3 linked regions of the Caenorhabditis elegans genome follow. The protein of the gene in region 3 interacts with the protein of the main gene of each other region in a pairwise test. Each region holds a gene or a part of one and is shown on either strand. Other genes may lie near its edges.

The links.
Region 1: the proteins of mmad-1 (region 3) and cdd-2 interact in a two-hybrid assay, tested with the Caenorhabditis elegans proteins (one large-scale study listed by BioGRID).
Region 2: the proteins of mmad-1 (region 3) and metr-1 interact in a two-hybrid assay, tested with the Caenorhabditis elegans proteins (one large-scale study listed by BioGRID).

The regions. Positions count from the first base shown.
Region 1 is NC_003282.8:7,545,908-7,549,939, reverse strand, and holds cdd-2 (Cytidine deaminase), read left to right. Parts: upstream 1-2,046; coding exon 2,047-2,191; intron 2,192-2,287; coding exon 2,288-2,469; intron 2,470-2,514; coding exon 2,515-2,688; 3' UTR 2,689-2,822; downstream 2,823-4,032. Other genes in the region: oef-1 (C2H2-type domain-containing protein), read right to left, coding at 229-418, 470-699, 743-849, 894-1,002, 1,055-1,246, 1,290-1,382; pam-1 (Puromycin-sensitive aminopeptidase), read left to right, coding at 2,823-2,927, 3,037-3,675, 3,752-3,986, 4,032-4,032.
Region 2 is NC_003280.10:10,924,370-10,931,919, forward strand, and holds metr-1 (putative methionine synthase), read left to right. Parts: upstream 1-2,191; 5' UTR 2,192-2,194; coding exon 2,195-2,320; intron 2,321-2,460; coding exon 2,461-2,707; intron 2,708-2,759; coding exon 2,760-2,852; intron 2,853-2,993; coding exon 2,994-3,359; intron 3,360-3,408; coding exon 3,409-4,654; intron 4,655-4,699; coding exon 4,700-5,336; intron 5,337-5,388; coding exon 5,389-5,673; intron 5,674-5,716; coding exon 5,717-6,379; intron 6,380-6,427; coding exon 6,428-6,514; 3' UTR 6,515-6,709; downstream 6,710-7,550. Other genes in the region: Y19D2B.2 (uncharacterized protein), read left to right, coding at 1-226.
Region 3 is NC_003281.10:13,545,825-13,551,168, reverse strand, and holds mmad-1 (Methylmalonic aciduria and homocystinuria type D homolog, mitochondrial), read left to right. Parts: upstream 1-2,163; 5' UTR 2,164-2,164; coding exon 2,165-2,230; intron 2,231-2,397; coding exon 2,398-2,446; intron 2,447-2,498; coding exon 2,499-2,572; intron 2,573-2,733; coding exon 2,734-2,953; intron 2,954-3,254; coding exon 3,255-3,685; intron 3,686-4,011; coding exon 4,012-4,023; 3' UTR 4,024-4,280; downstream 4,281-5,344. Other genes in the region: Y76A2B.4 (uncharacterized protein), read left to right, coding at 4,412-4,522, 4,740-4,863.

The sequences.
Region 1 (4,032 bases), on a different chromosome or scaffold from region 3:
TCTAACGTCATTCACCCTATTTGTCTATACGTCTGTTATGTTTATCATTTTCACACCAATCTAAAGCAATTTCCACGAAAAATCTAATGATCTTACATTGTGTCATTCTGAAACATTTCATTCTACTGATAGGCTTCACGACTTCTTCCAGTTTCTATTAATTTTTTCTCCAAAAGCTTATTTCTATGTTTTTGAAATATTTACAAAAACCTTTTTTCAACAACTCACATCTGTTTTGCTTTTATCAGCCACAGTGCTGATATGGATAATTTCACCTCCTCGAACAATTCTGTACGAGGCCTTTTCGGAGAGATACCAGGTGTTTCCGTTTCGAATTCTACGGCTTCTGGGAACTGGAAGATGACGCAAGAAGCATTTTTCCATAACTGAATTGAAAGTTGACACTTGCTCATTGGACCTAAATTTGAATCGAATTTTTAAAAGCATTTCTTCAATGTGATTTTCCTACCATAAGTCACGAAATTCAATTTCCACGTGGGTTTTATCGTGGTGTTCAGAAATATGTTCACATGGTGATTTCGACACAGGAAGAGTTCTCAAACAGTGGACACACTCATAGCGTTTTGCTATGTCTACATTGAGAAATTCCGATTCTGGGTGGGCGTCTAGAACATGTTCAGTCTGTTTCCTAATTTTTGTATTTCGGTTTCTACCGGTTTCCACTTCATGCTTGCACAGCTGAAAATTGTAGTTGAATCTGACGCAATTGTCGGGGTCTCACCGAACAATATGCCATATCAAGTTGATCTTCCTTTCCGTTTTCAACGATTATCGAGTCATTTGGTGTTTCAGCATCCATTGAGTTTACCATAAACAATTGCGGAATATCTGTTATCAGCGAAATATTAAAAATTAAATGAACGAACTCTTACTGTTTACAATGTTCTCTGATTCGTGATCATCCAAAACTGCATCTTCCTCGATGTTAGTTGGCTCGAGCAAAAGTTTCAACGCATCCGAGTTTTCGGCGAAAGTTCCGCGCTGAAATACTTTTTATTATTTTCGAACAATATTCGAGTTATTCAATCCTTACCGCCCATTTCTCTAATATTTCTTGGTTTGAAGACATCTGAATGGCGGGTTGGTTTGCTTCCGAAAACGGATCAACCGATTTCTGTTCCTCGGCTGTTTCTCGAAAATTAAAAGTTCCACTGTCCAATTTATCCAAATATTCTTTCATTTCTTCCGGAGTTGACGAGAAAATGTGATTCAAGTGATTGTTCGTCTAAAAATATGAATTAGGAAGAATAATTAAAGAAAAAACTCACCAAATAGCGACGAAGCTTTCGTGCAGCATTAATTTGTTCGATGTTATCATCGATACTCACAAGTACAAACCGTTTTCGCAATGATTTCGGCATTGTTATAAAAAGAGAGACAAGTTTGAATTGAGTTCGAATTCGTTCGCGAACGAACGTTCGTGGTCGACAAACTACGGTACGCTGGAGTACGCAATGAGATACGCAAACACGCTCGCGCATTTTTTTGACTTTTGTAATGCGCGCGCGCGCCACGGCCCGGCAAGTGGTACATCTATGCAAATGCGCTCTACTGATAATTTGAGTGTAGACCAGGTTTGGGCGCGTGATAATGAAAAAAGCTTTGGTCCAAAAAATTTAGAATTTAATTTCGGACATTATTTATATGCATCACAAAAAAACTGGACCAACCGTTTTTGAGATACACGCGCCCAAACGTCCAGGTATACGGTAGACAAATTGCGTACAGGTACCACTTCTCGGGCCGCGCGCGCGCAAAAATGTCCCGTGGATTTTTCATTTCACCAATTCTCGAAGTTGAGGCTGAAAAATAGTTGCAAAGTTCCCATTTTGTCATGTTTTTTTTAAATATAACGCGACCCGTTCACTGAATATGGGATTTAACGTCACTTTGCATGCGTTCCACAACGCAAATTCTTTTGTGTATTGCTAACTTTTCTCATCAATGTTGTTCTCTGTTCTTCTAATAATTTAATTCGCCTCATTCGCTTCTCATTTCATGCACTTTTGTCATAGTTAACTACAGATGGCCGCGAATAGTCTTCCTCAAGATATTTCCGATGTGGAACTAGTTCATTTGGCCCGAGCTGCGATGAAACGGGCACATTGCCCATACAGCAAGTTTCCAGTTGGTGCAGCGCTTCTCACTGAATCTGGGGAAATTGTCCAGGGTAATTTGTGATTTCTTGTCGTTGCATAACTCGAGATGTCTGCGGGCTTCTCAGTTTCGCAACATGCATTTTTGAAGTTTCTAGCATTTTCTGTAGGCTGCAATGTCGAGAATGCTTCATACGGTGGCACTATCTGCGCTGAGCGTAGTGCTATTGTTTCTGCTGTGTCACAAGGATACACGAAATTCCGTGCCATTGCTGTCGTCACTGAGCTCAGCGAACCTGCGTCTCCCTGTGGACTTTGCCGTCAATTTCTAGTTGAATTCGGTGACTATAAAGTAAGAAAACTAGAGCTTCTTAATTTTTCACTGTCATCGTTGCAGGTTGTTGTGGGAACTGCATCTAACAATAAAATTCTCATCACCTCAACTCGCGCTCTTCTTCCATTTGCTTTCACTCCTGAATCGCTCGACACTTTTGAGCAAGAAAAAGCATCAGAAGCTAAAGGATTAAAGCAAGATGATGCCACGGAGCATAACGTTACAGTCGTCTCTTAATTTTTTATTCCAATCAGAAACTCCTTTCCACATTTCCCGCCATTCCTAGTAGTGTTTTTTTTCATTTGTGATATCCTTCTCTTTCTTTCAATTTAGTTGTGTCAAAAATTCATTTTATTAATAAAACTTTTCAGAATGGCGGCCTGTGGAAACCCAAGCGCGGCGGTCAAATTTGAGAGGCTTCCAACATTCGCCGAACCAACTCATTACAACGTCCGTTTATCGCCATGCCTCAACCAGTAAGTTCTGTAATAATATTTCAGTTTAGCTAGGACGGCAGTAATAAATGTTGATATGTAGTTTAAATTTGCAACAAAACCACTTCAAGTTCTAATTCTTGTTTTTCAGATTCTCTTTCGATGGTCATGCAACGATTGACGTCACAATCAAAGAAGCTACTGATGTCTTGAAGGTGCATGCACAGAGTTTGCTGATTCAGTCGGTATCGCTTATCACTCAGCCAGGAGACGCTTCTAAATCTCTCGAAACTAGCTACGACGATAAGCTCAATATTTTGACTATCAAGCTTCCGACTACCATGCAGCCACAGAAGGTTCAGCTCGACTTCAAGTTTGTCGGTGAACTGAACGATAAGATGCGAGGATTTTATCGCAGTCAGTACAAGGATAAGAACGGCACCGAAAAGTTCTTGGCTTCAACTCAGTTTGAGTCGACTTATGCTCGCTATGCATTCCCATGTTTCGATGAGCCAATTTACAAGGCAACTTTCGACGTTACTTTGGAAGTAGAAAATCATCTGACCGCTCTCTCCAATATGAATGTAATCTCCGAAACACCGACTGCTGATGGAAAGAGAAAGGCAGTTACATTTGCAACTTCACCAAAGATGTCATCGTATCTCGTCGCTTTCGCCGTTGGTGAGCTGGAATATATCAGTGCACAAACGAAAAGCGGAGTTGAGATGCGTGTGTATACTGTACCTGGAAAGAAAGAACAAGGTCAATACAGTTTGGATCTTTCTGTGAAGTGAGTTATCTTAAAGAATAATTTTAGCTGAATTTTCAGTAATAATTCAAATGAAGTTTCAATTTCTAATTTTCAGGTGCATTGACTGGTACAATGAGTGGTTCGACATCAAATACCCTCTTCCAAAATGTGACCTGATTGCTATTCCGGACTTCTCAATGGGTGCGATGGAGAACTGGGGACTTGTCACGTATCGTGAAATCGCTCTTCTTGTTGATCCAGGAGTCACGTCCACCAGACAAAAGTCTAGAGTTGCTTTAGTCGTTGCTCACGAGTTGGCTCATTTATGGTTCGGAAATCTTGTGACTATGGTAGGGAATTTTCAACTAATAAACATATATATTCATTCTTTTCAGA
Region 2 (7,550 bases), on a different chromosome or scaffold from region 3:
CTACCACCACGTGGATTCAGTGTCAAGAAAGTGTCTGCAGGAGAGAATTCAAAAGTTGGAACAAGAGAAAGCAGCTCTGATTGAAATAATGATAAGTCAGCATAAGAGTAAATATGAAGAGAAGTTGAAGGATAAAAAAGAGAAGAGAACCAGTAATTATTATAAGAAGCATTTCAATAAGTTCAAGAAGGATGAGAATACTTATGACTACATTTCAATTGATTAGATTTGTTAAATAGTTTTTATTTTAGTAACCATCTTTCAATTTACTGTGCATCTCAAAAAAGTTAGAGCAACATCCTTTCAAAACCAAATTGACTAGTACTTTTGGATTCTCCCAATTTCTCGTTTTTTTTCCGTTTTTCCCTCTTTTTCTAATAAACGTCATAATATAATAATAATAAAAATTCGTAATCAGTTAAAACTCGTTCGTCCCTTTTCTCTTCCCTCTCTTATCAAAAACACTATCAATACCTACACAGAGATCATAATCAGAACTTTTGATTCAATAGTTCAAGTATTGCCATTGTTCACGTGATTCTGCTCGCCTAGTATTGCCTTTTAAAGACGTTCAGGAATAATATTTTGGTTCAAAGTATAGAAATCCCATGGCAGTTGTTTTGAATTATTATTCTTTCTTTGTTGTCTTTTGAAAAACTTGGTTACTATGTGTCTTATTCTGGATCTTTCGGACTGTCTATTTTTTTGTTGGTCGTATAAATATTACATTTTGATCTACCCTTGTTGACCTCCCCGCGTATATTTTTGTTTTACCCCTTCTAAAATCAGTCTGTATAAAAGGCATTCGACATTCCTCTGCTTTAAAAAAAATTTTAACTGATTAAACACCTGTAATTTATTTTTTTATTTTGCTCCAAGAAAAAATGGTTCCTGCGGTCTTGAAGCGAACGATTTTTTTTGGCTGCAAAAGAGCGTGCGCCTTTAAGAATTACTACTCCTCGCTGTTTCGGGGGTTTCTTCGATATTTCATAAGCTTTAACCCCCTTGCTTAACATTTATTTTAAAAAAATGTCAAAATATATTTCAAAAGATGCATCAAAATTGGAAGGAACGGGAGAAATATCCGCGACATCAAAAAAATTTGCAACAACTACCGTATTCCTTGCGCATTCCTTCTTGAATTTGAAAAAATCAGTCGCTTCGAGACCGTGTACAGTAATTTTGAAGCAAAATCGAACAATTTCGCATCTGGGGAATCTGAAATTGAGTATTTATATTTTTCATCTAGAATACACCCTAAACTCTAAAATTTTTCAAGTTAGTCTCAAATCAATAATCCCTTTGATATCCTTGACCCGCATATATCTAGTTGAAACCAAAGTACGATAAGAGTACTTGAATGGCGCCATTTACCAACGAACCGCCTACCTCAGAAATCTTATCAGTTGAATTAGTCTGCCCTTTTATCTGTCTCCGATGCTTCTCTATTCCTCAAGAAACAAAATTTTATCCTAAAATCCTCAGTGTAGCAAGTTCCAAATCGAAATCTCGATTTAAAATCAGCTATATCCTTTTCTGTCGACACATTATTTCGTATTCACGTGTTCCGTTGACCCATCTTTATGATAAAATGTGTCCTTTATCTAGACACTGTCATCAAACGAGATGTACACGGGACTGAAGAGAGTGTAGAGGGGAAAACGAGTGTTATTCCCGATTTGCCACGACTCACTGTGTCGTGTTTTTCATGTTCTCAACGCTGCATATCGAATTAAAAACATGACTAGAATATATTTATAATGTCATCTCGAAACTTTTTTGTAGGGAAATAACATCTACTTGGTTTAATTTTTGTTTACAAAAACAAAATCCACGTCGACTTCAATTGTGTTGTTTCTTTCAGTAGCTTATTTCTCTTTTCCCCTTGCTTTCATTTTTGGATAATTAAAACTTGATATTTCCAGCCGATTTTACTTTATAGAACGAAAAGTACGCATTAAATAAATTCAAATATTAAAATTTGGCGCCATGGCGCTTACTAGTCCACGGCACCGTGTAGTCCTCTCGGAGTATGCAAATTTATTATTTTTTTAATCAAAATTTTCTATAAAGATATAAGTTTTGCTTAAAATATGCTAATTTTCTGCTTCTTTTAACTTGTTCTTCTTTGCTTAATATTTCCCAATACTTTTAATCATAAATTTTCCCACAATTTATGTTTTTTTTCCAGAAAATGACTCGAAGTAGTCTTTTCGAGGAGTTGGCGGAGATCGCCAAAGAGCGTATCATGATCATCGACGGTGCAATGGGAACAATGATTCAGAGAGAGTATATGGAAGAGGAAGATTTTCGTGGAGAGGTAAGAAATGATTTGTAGAAACTGGCTTCTGTGAAAAGATCAAAAAATGAACATTCACAAATTGATGTTATCAATAACTGATTGAGATAACAGAAATGTCCCCATAAAATGTATGATTCAGCATTAAAAAAAAATTCCAGATCCTCAAAGACCACGACAAGCCACTGAAAGGAAACAATGATCTTCTATCCATCACCCGCCCAGATATCATCTACAAAATCCACAAGCTCTACTTGGAAGCCGGAGCAGACTTTGTCGAGACTAACACATTCTCAGGAACCACAATTGCACAAGCAGATTATCGATGTGAACATTTGGTGCATGAAATCAATTATCAGTCGGCACTCGTCGCCAGAAGAGCTTGTGATGATGTTGGAGCAGCTACTGGTAAGGGAATTCTGTGAAAAGAGCTACTAGTTGAATTGTTTCTTATAACCAGGTAGACGTCGATATGTGTGCGGAGCCATTGGACCTACGAACAGAACTCTCTCAATTTCGCCATCTGTGGAGAAGCCGGATTTTCGTAACGTTAGTGAGTAAATTTTAAATTGGCTTGAAGATTTCAATAATCGAAATTTCGAATCGATTCCGAAAATTTTCAAAACTATAATTTTTAAATAAATTAATTACGTGGAAAAGTTAAACAAATAAATTATCCCAATTTTTATTTCAGCATTCCAAGAGCTCGTGAAAGCATACGGAGATCAAGCTCGCTCACTTATTCAAGGAGGAGTCGACGTGCTTCTCGTGGAAACTGTTTTCGATTCAGCCAACGCCAAAGCTGCTCTTTTCGCGATTCGCACACTTTTCGAGGATGAAGGAGTTCCAGAAATGCCAGTTTTTCTTTCTGGAACTATTGTTGATATGTCTGGACGTACGCTTTCTGGTCAAACTGGTGAAGCTTTCCTTGTGTCCACCAAGCAAGGAAAACCAATGGCTGTAGGATTGAATTGTGCTCTTGGAGCCAAAGATATGAGACAATTTGTGGATAATATGTCGAAGTGGTCTGATTCTTTCATCATCTGTTATCCAAATGCTGGTTAGTTTAGAGAAAAAATAAAATTTATTCTAATTTCTTCCATTTCCAGGTCTTCCCAATGCACTCGGAGGCTACGACGAAACTCCTGAAGAGATGGCTGATGTTCTTCGAGAATTCGCTAGAGACGGACTTGTGAATATCATTGGTGGATGCTGTGGTACTACTCCAGATCACATTAATGCCATGTACAAGGCTGTGCAAGGAATCACACCACGTGTCCCACCACAAGATCCTCATGCTGGAAAAATGCTGCTCTCTGGACTTGAGCCATCTATCGTCGGGCCCGAAACCAATTTTGTGAACATCGGGGAGCGCTGTAACGTCGCAGGATCTCGTCGATTCTGTAACCTTATTAAAAATGAGAATTACGATACGGCGATTGACGTGGCTCGTGTGCAAGTCGACAGTGGAGCTCAAATTCTAGATGTGAATATGGATGATGGTCTTCTTGATGGTCCATATGCAATGTCAAAGTTCCTTCGTCTCATATCCTCGGAGCCAGATGTCGCCAAAATTCCAGTTTGCATTGATTCTTCGGATTTCGATGTTATTATTGCTGGCCTCGAGTCTACTCAAGGAAAATGTGTAGTCAACTCGATTTCGCTGAAGGAAGGAGAAGAAAAGTTCAAGGAACGTGCTCGAATCATCAAGCGATACGGTGCTGCTGTGGTCGTGATGGCGTTCGATGAACAAGGGCAAGCTGCGGAGACGGATCCGAAGTTCGAGATTTGCGAAAGATCCTACAGAATTCTTACGGAAGAGGTTGGATTCAATCCAAATGATATCATTTTTGACGCCAACATTCTCACTATTGCAACTGGAATGGAAGAGCATTCGAACTATGGAATGTATTTTATTGAGGCAGCTCGTATGATAAGAGAGAATCTGCCAGGAGCTCATGTGTCTGGAGGTGTATCCAATATTTCATTCTCATTCCGTGGAATGGAAGCGATTCGTGAAGCTATGCATTCCGTGTTTCTGTTCTACGCAATCAAAGCTGGAATGGACATGGGAATCGTGAACGCTGGAGCTCTTCCAGTTTACGAGGATATTGATAAGCCACTTCTGCAACTTCTAGAAGATCTTCTTTTCAATCGGGATCCAGAAGCGACCGAAAAGCTTCTTGTCGCTGCTCAAGAAATGAAGAAGGACGGAAAGAAGGCTGACACGAAGACTGATGAATGGAGATCATTGACTGTAGAGGAACGTCTGAAGTTTGCTCTCGTGAAGGGAGTTGATCAGTTTGTTGTCGCTGATACCGAAGAAGCTAGACAGAATACTGCGAAATATCCAAGGTGTGTACCGATTTCTGATATCCATAATTAATTACTTTCTTTCAGACCTTTGAACGTTATTGAACGACCATTGATGGATGGAATGGCAGTCGTTGGAGAGCTGTTCGGAGCCGGAAAAATGTTCCTCCCACAAGTTATCAAATCAGCCAGAGTTATGAAGAAAGCAGTTGCTCATCTTCTTCCATTTATGGAAATTGAACGACAAGCTAATATTGAGACCATGGGGCTGGCTGAAGATGAAAGTCCATATCAGGGTACTGTAGTTATTGCTACAGTCAAAGGAGATGTTCATGACATTGGAAAGAATATTGTGTCTGTTGTGTTGGGATGCAATAATTTCAAAGTTGTCGATCTTGGCGTCATGACTCCCTGCGAAAACATCATCAAGGCTGCAATTGAGGAGAAGGCTGACTTTATCGGACTCTCTGGACTCATTACACCTTCTCTCGATGAAATGGTATATGTTGCCAAAGAGATGAACAGAGTTGGATTGAATATTCCATTGCTCATTGGCGGAGCTACAACTTCCAAAACCCATACTGCTGTCAAGATCTCTCCAAGATATCCTCATCCAGTTGTACATTGTTTGGATGCTTCAAAGTCTGTTGTAGTGTGCTCTTCGCTGTCTGATATGTCTGTTCGTGATGCTTTCTTGCAAGATTTGAATGAAGATTATGAAGATGTAAGTTTATAGCTTTTTGAAGTTACTCATGACTTACCTAAAACATTTTCAGGTGCGCCAAGAACATTACGCTTCACTGAAAGATCGCCGCTTCACTGATCTCAATAAAACCCGCGAGAAGAAATTCAAGATCGACTGGGACAAGTTTACAGCCGTCAAGCCTTCCTTTGTCGGACGCCGTGAATATCAAAACTTTGATCTCAACGAATTGATTCCCTACATTGATTGGAAGCCGTTCTTCGATGTTTGGCAACTGAGAGGAAAATACCCGAATCGCAGTTATCCGAAGATCTTTGATGACGCGGATGTTGGTGCTGAGGCCAAGAAGGTTTTCGATGTAAGTTTTAGCTCATTATTTTTTTCAAATTTTGGAAATTCAGGATGCTCAAACATGGCTCAAGAAGCTTATCGATGAGAAGATTCTCGTCGCCAACGCTGTTGTTTCATTCCTCCCAGCTGCTTCTGAAGGCGATGATATGCATGTCTATGATCCAGAGACTGGAAACAAGCTCGACACATTCTACGGTCTTCGCCAACAATCTGGACGTGAACACGATCAACCACATTTCTGTCTCTCGGATTTCATCAAGCCACTCAAAAATGGCGTCCCTGATGATTACCTTGGTCTATTCGCTTGTACTGCTGGTCTCGGAGCCGAAGAATACTGTAAAACTCTTGAAAAGAATCATGATGATTATGCTTCAATTATGGTGAAAGCTCTTGCCGATCGTCTTGCCGAAGCATACGCTGAATACTTGCACAAAGAAGTGAGAACGACTCTTTGGGGATATTCAACCAACGAAGATCTCACCGAATCTGATCTTTTGTCGATCAAATATCAAGGTATTCGCCCGGCGTGTGGCTATCCATCTCAACCGGATCACACTGAAAAGCGAACTCTTTGGAAGCTGCTTGAGGCGGAAAAGAATGGAATTGGGCTCACGGAGCATCTTGCTATGCTTCCAGCTGCATCAGTGTCTGGACTCTATTTCGCGAATCCACAGAGTGAATATTTCGCTGTTGGAAAGATTGATCAAGATCAGGTATGTATTCTAGGAAAACATATTTTTAATTTATTTTAACATTTGCAGGTAATCGATTACGCCGCCAGAAAGAATGTGCCAAAGGAAGAAGTTGAGCGATGGCTATCACCAATTCTTGGCTATGATACGGATTAAACTGCATATCTTCTCTACTCGTACTTCTAATGATGAAACATATTACCAGAATACGTATTTCACTTCCCTCCCCTCAATCGGTCCCTTCAAGGGTTTTCCCCCTAACATTTCACTTTCCCGGAATTTATAGCCTACTATTAGTAGTATCAAAGTATTAATTTTGTTTGATTAAATAATAAATATGATTTTTTGAATAAGCTCTTCGTCACTTTATTGGGTTTTTTTTGCAGAATATAGCGTGTTCTGTAAGAATGGTGTATACTAGTCGTAAATCTTAATTTCGTTCATTCTTTTTCAGTTGAGGTTTGTTGGAAAATATGCATTTTTTGCCAATTTCCGCTTGTTTTTGGTGAGGTTGCGAGGTTTTCGATAACTTCTTTTCTCGAAGATATTTATTTTTTCGACTTTGGAATATCATCACTCTTAATTTAAAAATTCTTGCCAATTATTTATGAAAAAAAAATTTCAATAATTTTCTGTCAATTTTTGAATTAGTTCGAATTTATGGTTTTACTCAAAATCAATGCGTTTGGTCCTGGCACGAGCCATTTTTCCCTACTACGGTACTATTATTTTAGTTGCTGAAAACTTCCGTAAGGTATCAAAAAAGTCCATTACTCTTTGCTCTTCTTTTACGTGTTCTATTCAATTCTGACCTGCCACGTCAAATTGATGTGTATATGTTCACTCGTTCATTATTTCTGCATCCAGCTTCAGCTCCAAGCAATCTTCTTCAATCCACAATTTTTTTTGGTTTCAGTATTAAGACATTGAGCTACTCGGAAATTGGGAATCTTTTTTGGTTTTTCCTTTTAAAAAAGCGATAGTATAACGTTCATTTATTTAGAAAAGTTAGAATCAGAGAGTTTTTTTTGGAACAGCTGTTCGATTTTGAAAAAATATACAAATTCAAAAGTTTATTCTGTTAGGTCGCAAATTGTAAGCTATCCGAATATTTTTACGTTTTTGAAACACTATTTTAAATCATCTGGGAAATCAATTTATTTTATAAATCCTATGAAAACATCTTCACAAA
Region 3 (5,344 bases):
TTGATTTTGAAAATTTTTGCAGTTTTAACAAATTAAAAAAGTAGAGAGTTATATATATTTTTTGATTTCCCTAAAAAATTCGATTTTAAAATTTTTCTTTAAAAAAATTTATACAAATAGATTAAAGAACTGGTTTATTTGGAAAAAACTTTTCGAATTTTGAAAAAAATCCAATTTTCAAACCTTCATCGGTTTTTTTCTCAAATTTTCAACTTTTCCCTCTAAAAATAATATTTTCAGTCTCTGTTAATTTTGTGAATATAGCTTTACTTGTTTTTCTTCCCATTTTCATCACTCACACCATTTCCCCCGAATCCCCGTTTTTCCCCACCAGCTCCTCACTTTGATTTGTTCAATTTATTATGCACACGGGTCCCCAAAATCCCCCTAAAATTATTCCGAGATATTCTTGTACCATTTGACATGTAAATATATATATATATATACTCCATTTTATTTTCCTACTGAAAATTTGAAAATTTCCAGATTTTTATAGAATTTCTATACATAGTTGTCTTGCACCATAAAATGAAGCGATCTTGTTTATAACTTTAAAAATTATTTTTTTAAATGTGGTCCAAAACCCCTTGTTTCAGATATTTTGCTAAATTTTATAACTCGATTTTTAATAATTAATTTCTGAAAAAAAAAGTCCGAGTGCCAGCTCCTCCCACTTCTTGGCTACCATTCAAATTTGGCTTTTTGAGACAATTTAGAGAAAATTTTATTTCCGATTACTAACTGGAAGGTTTCAAAAACTTCAAAAATATGCGATAAATAATTTTATTAAAGAAAAACCGTTCGAAAACTCAAAATTTTGAAAAAAAAGCTCGAAAATCGATATTTCTTTTTTGCAATTCTAAAAGTGTTTATTCTTTTTTAGAAAATTTTCAAAAAATATCGAGAACCTAAAATTGCATTCTTGGGTTCCAACATCACGAAAGTCCACTGAAAAAAACTCCGAAGTGGACTTTGAAAATCCGAAAACTTTCTATTCGCCTCTAGACAATTCTTTTTCACGTGCAACAACTGTGACCCTTCTTTCATCGTTACACTTGTTGTCTTTTCGCTCTCTTTTCTTGAATTGTTGCACTTCTCACGTTCACCCAACAGATTTTAAATCAAAACAAAAAAGTTGGCTTTGAACAAGACTTCGAAGACTTTCAGATTATTTCAGGCTTTTTAATGATAGTAAATTTGGATTTTTGGATTTTTTTTAACTTTTTGGCTTTAAATCTTTTCAAAGATTATTTTTAAATTTTATTTTCTTTTTGAATTTTTAAATTTCTCGAGTTTTCGAACTTTTGGAAGAATTCTAAGAATCGTTGTTCTTGTCTCGGTTTTTTATGTATTTAAACCTTTTTTATTTTGTGAAAAATTCGGAGAATGCGTATTAACTAACATATTTAACGCGCAAAATATCTTACGAGATAGTAATTCTCGAACACTATAGTAATTCTTTAAATTACTACTGTAGTGTCGATTTACGGGCTCAAATAGTGAAAAAAAAAATTATTTGCGAATAGTGGGAGTTACTTTGTTTTTTCGTATTATTATCTCTTTTTTTGCTTAGTTTTAATGTTCTATCGATAAATAAATGTTTTTTAAATCGAGGCCGTATATCGACACAATCGCTACAGTAGTCATTTGAAGAATTACTGTAGTTTTTGCAACGAGATGTTTTACTCGTTGAATATGTTGCACAGTACGCAATCTTAGAATTATGTGTTTAATACTCAAACACAATAAATTAACAATTTAGGTCAAAGAAAAAAAAGAAACACTTTAAGATTACTGTACTTCTTAAAAGTACACGCCTTTTTGATGATATAATCAATATGTCACAAGGTTGAAAAATAGAAACAAAAAATTAGGAATTTAGATAACAACTAATTTGATCAGTAATTACTAGTGTTCTCAGTAATAATAATAATAATAAAGTTCACATGATTCGTCGCGCTCGTTCTTCGGTTTCCCTTTTCTCGTTTTCTCGGCGGTCTCCCCAATTTCAGTGTTCTCTAACCGTCTGCGTAATTCTCCCTCTAGCTGTCACTCAATTTCCAACAAACATGTCTTTCAATATTTTCTTCGTTTTTTCTTGCCTTATTGATTTCTTTCGAATTAAAAGTAAAATTTTAAATTAAAATACAAGTTTTGTTGCAGGATGTTGTCCGCCAAAGGTCCCCAAATGCGTGCGTTTACCCAACGTGTTGCCGCATTTTCAACGCAGGTGAGAGTTTGGATAATGGCTGAAAAATTGCAGATTTTATCGAAAAATCTTTTGTTTCAGAAAAATTAATTTCTTTTTGATTTACCGAATAATTCAATTTTTCTTTTGAAAAAAAGTAAGCGTTTTAGCTGCTTATGTGCTGAAAATCATAAAATTCAAATTTTCAGCTCCAAATCGACCCAATTCCAATCGTGTTCGTCGGAAAGGGCACAACTCGTAAGAAATTCAAAATTTCGATCGACATTTTCACAATTTTTCCACATTTCAGCTCGCCAAAACTCGCTTCTCGGCCCAAATGACAGTCAGTACCCGTTCCAGGGAGACGTCTCGTTTGCTCACAAGGTAAATTTCTGAAAATTGATTTTCCAAACAGACACCCAAAATTATCTGATTTTTTACTCCAAAATCAAATTTCATGTAAAAAATTTGAATTTTCGAAAATTTACCCATTTAAAATAATTCCAATTTAATTTTAAATTTTTTCAAAAACTCAAAATTTGCAGCCATTGAGCATCCGCCAACAAGTGGAAAACTCAAAAATCGAGCGTGTGATGGACGATACGGAGCACAATTTGATCAATTTGCTCTCCAATACAAATATCGAAGTTGACCGTACACATTTGGCTCAATTGAAGGAAGAAGCAATGGAAGAGATTCAGGCAAATGCGGCTGACGTTGAGATTGAACTTTCCGCTATTGAAGCACCAAAGTTGCTCAAAAAAGGTGAGCTGGAAAGCTGGGATTTATAGAAATTCTGAAAATGAACTTTTAAAAAATTAGTCTTTCAAAAAATCGGAAATTGAGATTACGTTCGAGTTAATATTAGTGAAAAATTGAAAAAAAAAATGCTTTGCAGAACTATATTTAGCAGGGGTGTGCGGTAAATTTGGTAAATCGACTTTTTAAAAAATTTACCGTGGTCGTCATACTCGGCAAATCGCAATATTTGTGAAGCTCAAAAAGTGAATTTAAAATTTATTTTGAATTTAAAACTCATAAATTCAAAAATCATTTTTTTTTCCAGAAATGAAATACCTATTCCCACAAATGGAGACTCAAAAGATGAACAACGTGACCGTGTTCAATCTAACTCAAAAGTCAGAATTCGACATGAAAGCATGGAGTGAAGCAATGGAAGAGGAACGTGAAAAGCTCACCGCCTCATTCATCATGTCCGCCAACGCGATTTGCTCAACTCTCCATCGTTTCGGCTATTGGGCTGATTTCATTGATCCATCTTCCGGCCGCCCGTATATGGGTGATTACACCAATCATACACTTTTCGAGACCAATGACGCCTACAAACAAATGGGCTTCAAGATTGAAGACCTCGGATGCTGCAAAGTTCTGCAACACGCATGCTGGGGATCCAACGCATTTGTGGGAACTATTTTCACTGATGCTCCTGTTGATGGGGATGCCGTCAGGGATATTTTGAAGAAGGTTACTCAGGAGGTACAGGATGTTGGAATTTCTGAAACCGAATTTTTGAAAAAAAAAAACGTAAAATTATGTTTGAAAAAATTTATTTTGATGTTCTTCCTGCTATCTAATAATGATAATCATTTTTCAGATTTCCAAAAAAAGGACGAAAATTATGTTTTTATTTCTGGGATTCTACAAAATTTCAGAATTTCCTTACATTTTGTAATTTTTGTACGATTTTCGACTTCACAAAAAATAAAACAAAGTCTTAAAAAAGGTCGCTCTTTCAAAAACCAAAGAGATATTTTATTGAATAAATTTTCGACTTCCTTAAATAAAAAAGTTAATTTTTTTAGATTGACGAATAGAGATTCCATCGAGCAATTTTCCAGTAGAAGCCCCGCCCACAATATGCCATAAATATGAGTCGATTCTCCTTCCATTTTGCACCCGTTGTCCCTCGCTCCACGTATTTTCTAATTTTTTTTTGTCTGTAAAATTTTTAATTTAGACTAAAAATTTGCGGTTTTCAAATGAATGAAATTTGCAAGCAAGCACTGTCTCGAAATTGTAAATAATTTAATGGTTGTTTTTTAGAAAAAAATAAATGTTTGTTAGAATCCACAATTCACTTGTTGTCACCTTTTCAAGTTACTGATCTGACGGTATTTTTTAAAGTTTTCTTCTTTTTTGAACTTTTAAAGAAATTGGTTTAAGCTGGAAATTTGAATTTTCTAGCAAAAAAAAACATACCAGATGACGATCATCAGTGAGGAGGACGAGGCGGACGTCTACACGTCGCAGCGATCAGAACCCCCAGAGACACGGATTTTCGAGACGATGGGGTTTTACTGGAAACGGATTATGGTTTGTGCAGAATTTTTTTTTGCTTAAAATAATTTCGTGGCCGTGTTTTGAGAAAAACTCGGTCACAGGTTTTTTTCGTGATCGCTTCTAATTTTACAAAAAACTTTGAATACCCTACATAGTAAAAAAGTTTGTAGAAAAATAAGTGCTTTTCAAGAAAAAATACATTTTTAAAATGCAATTTTAAAAACACTTCCTAAAAAAACCACTTTTTCAGAAAACCCTACCTACATTCACCACCCAAATTGTGTTAATCTTCTGTGTTCTGCCCATCTCATTCTCCATCGCCATCTTCCTCGCCACCGCGATTCTCAATTTTGGAGTCGCTTTTATTGCACAAAGTGAGAATTTTGATTTACAGATTGGAAAATGGAAGAAAAACCTTGAACAAACGGTCATGTATTCAAATAAATAGAGAGCTCTCGTAAATCGACACGATACAAGCGCGCTCCAATGAGAATTTCTTTGGGCGCGCATTTGAAAAAGTAATAGGAACGCAAATGAAATTCGCGAATTTCAAGCTGAAAAAAATGGAAATTTGTTTTAAATTTTTTTACATGGATATTCGGCATCAGGGGCAAATTTGGAGTTCTTTAAAAAATATTTCCCAGATTTCGGTACTCCACCTTTTAGATAAATACATCGGCGATTTTTGAATGTCAAAAAATGCTTACTAGAAATTCAAAATTTAACTTTGGAAACTTTTCGACGGGATTCAAATTTTAAATATTCAAAAAAATTTAGTAGCAAACTCAAGTTAACAATTTGGTTGCCAGAAAGTTTTTGACATAAATTCAAAATTTAAATTATCAAAAAATTTGG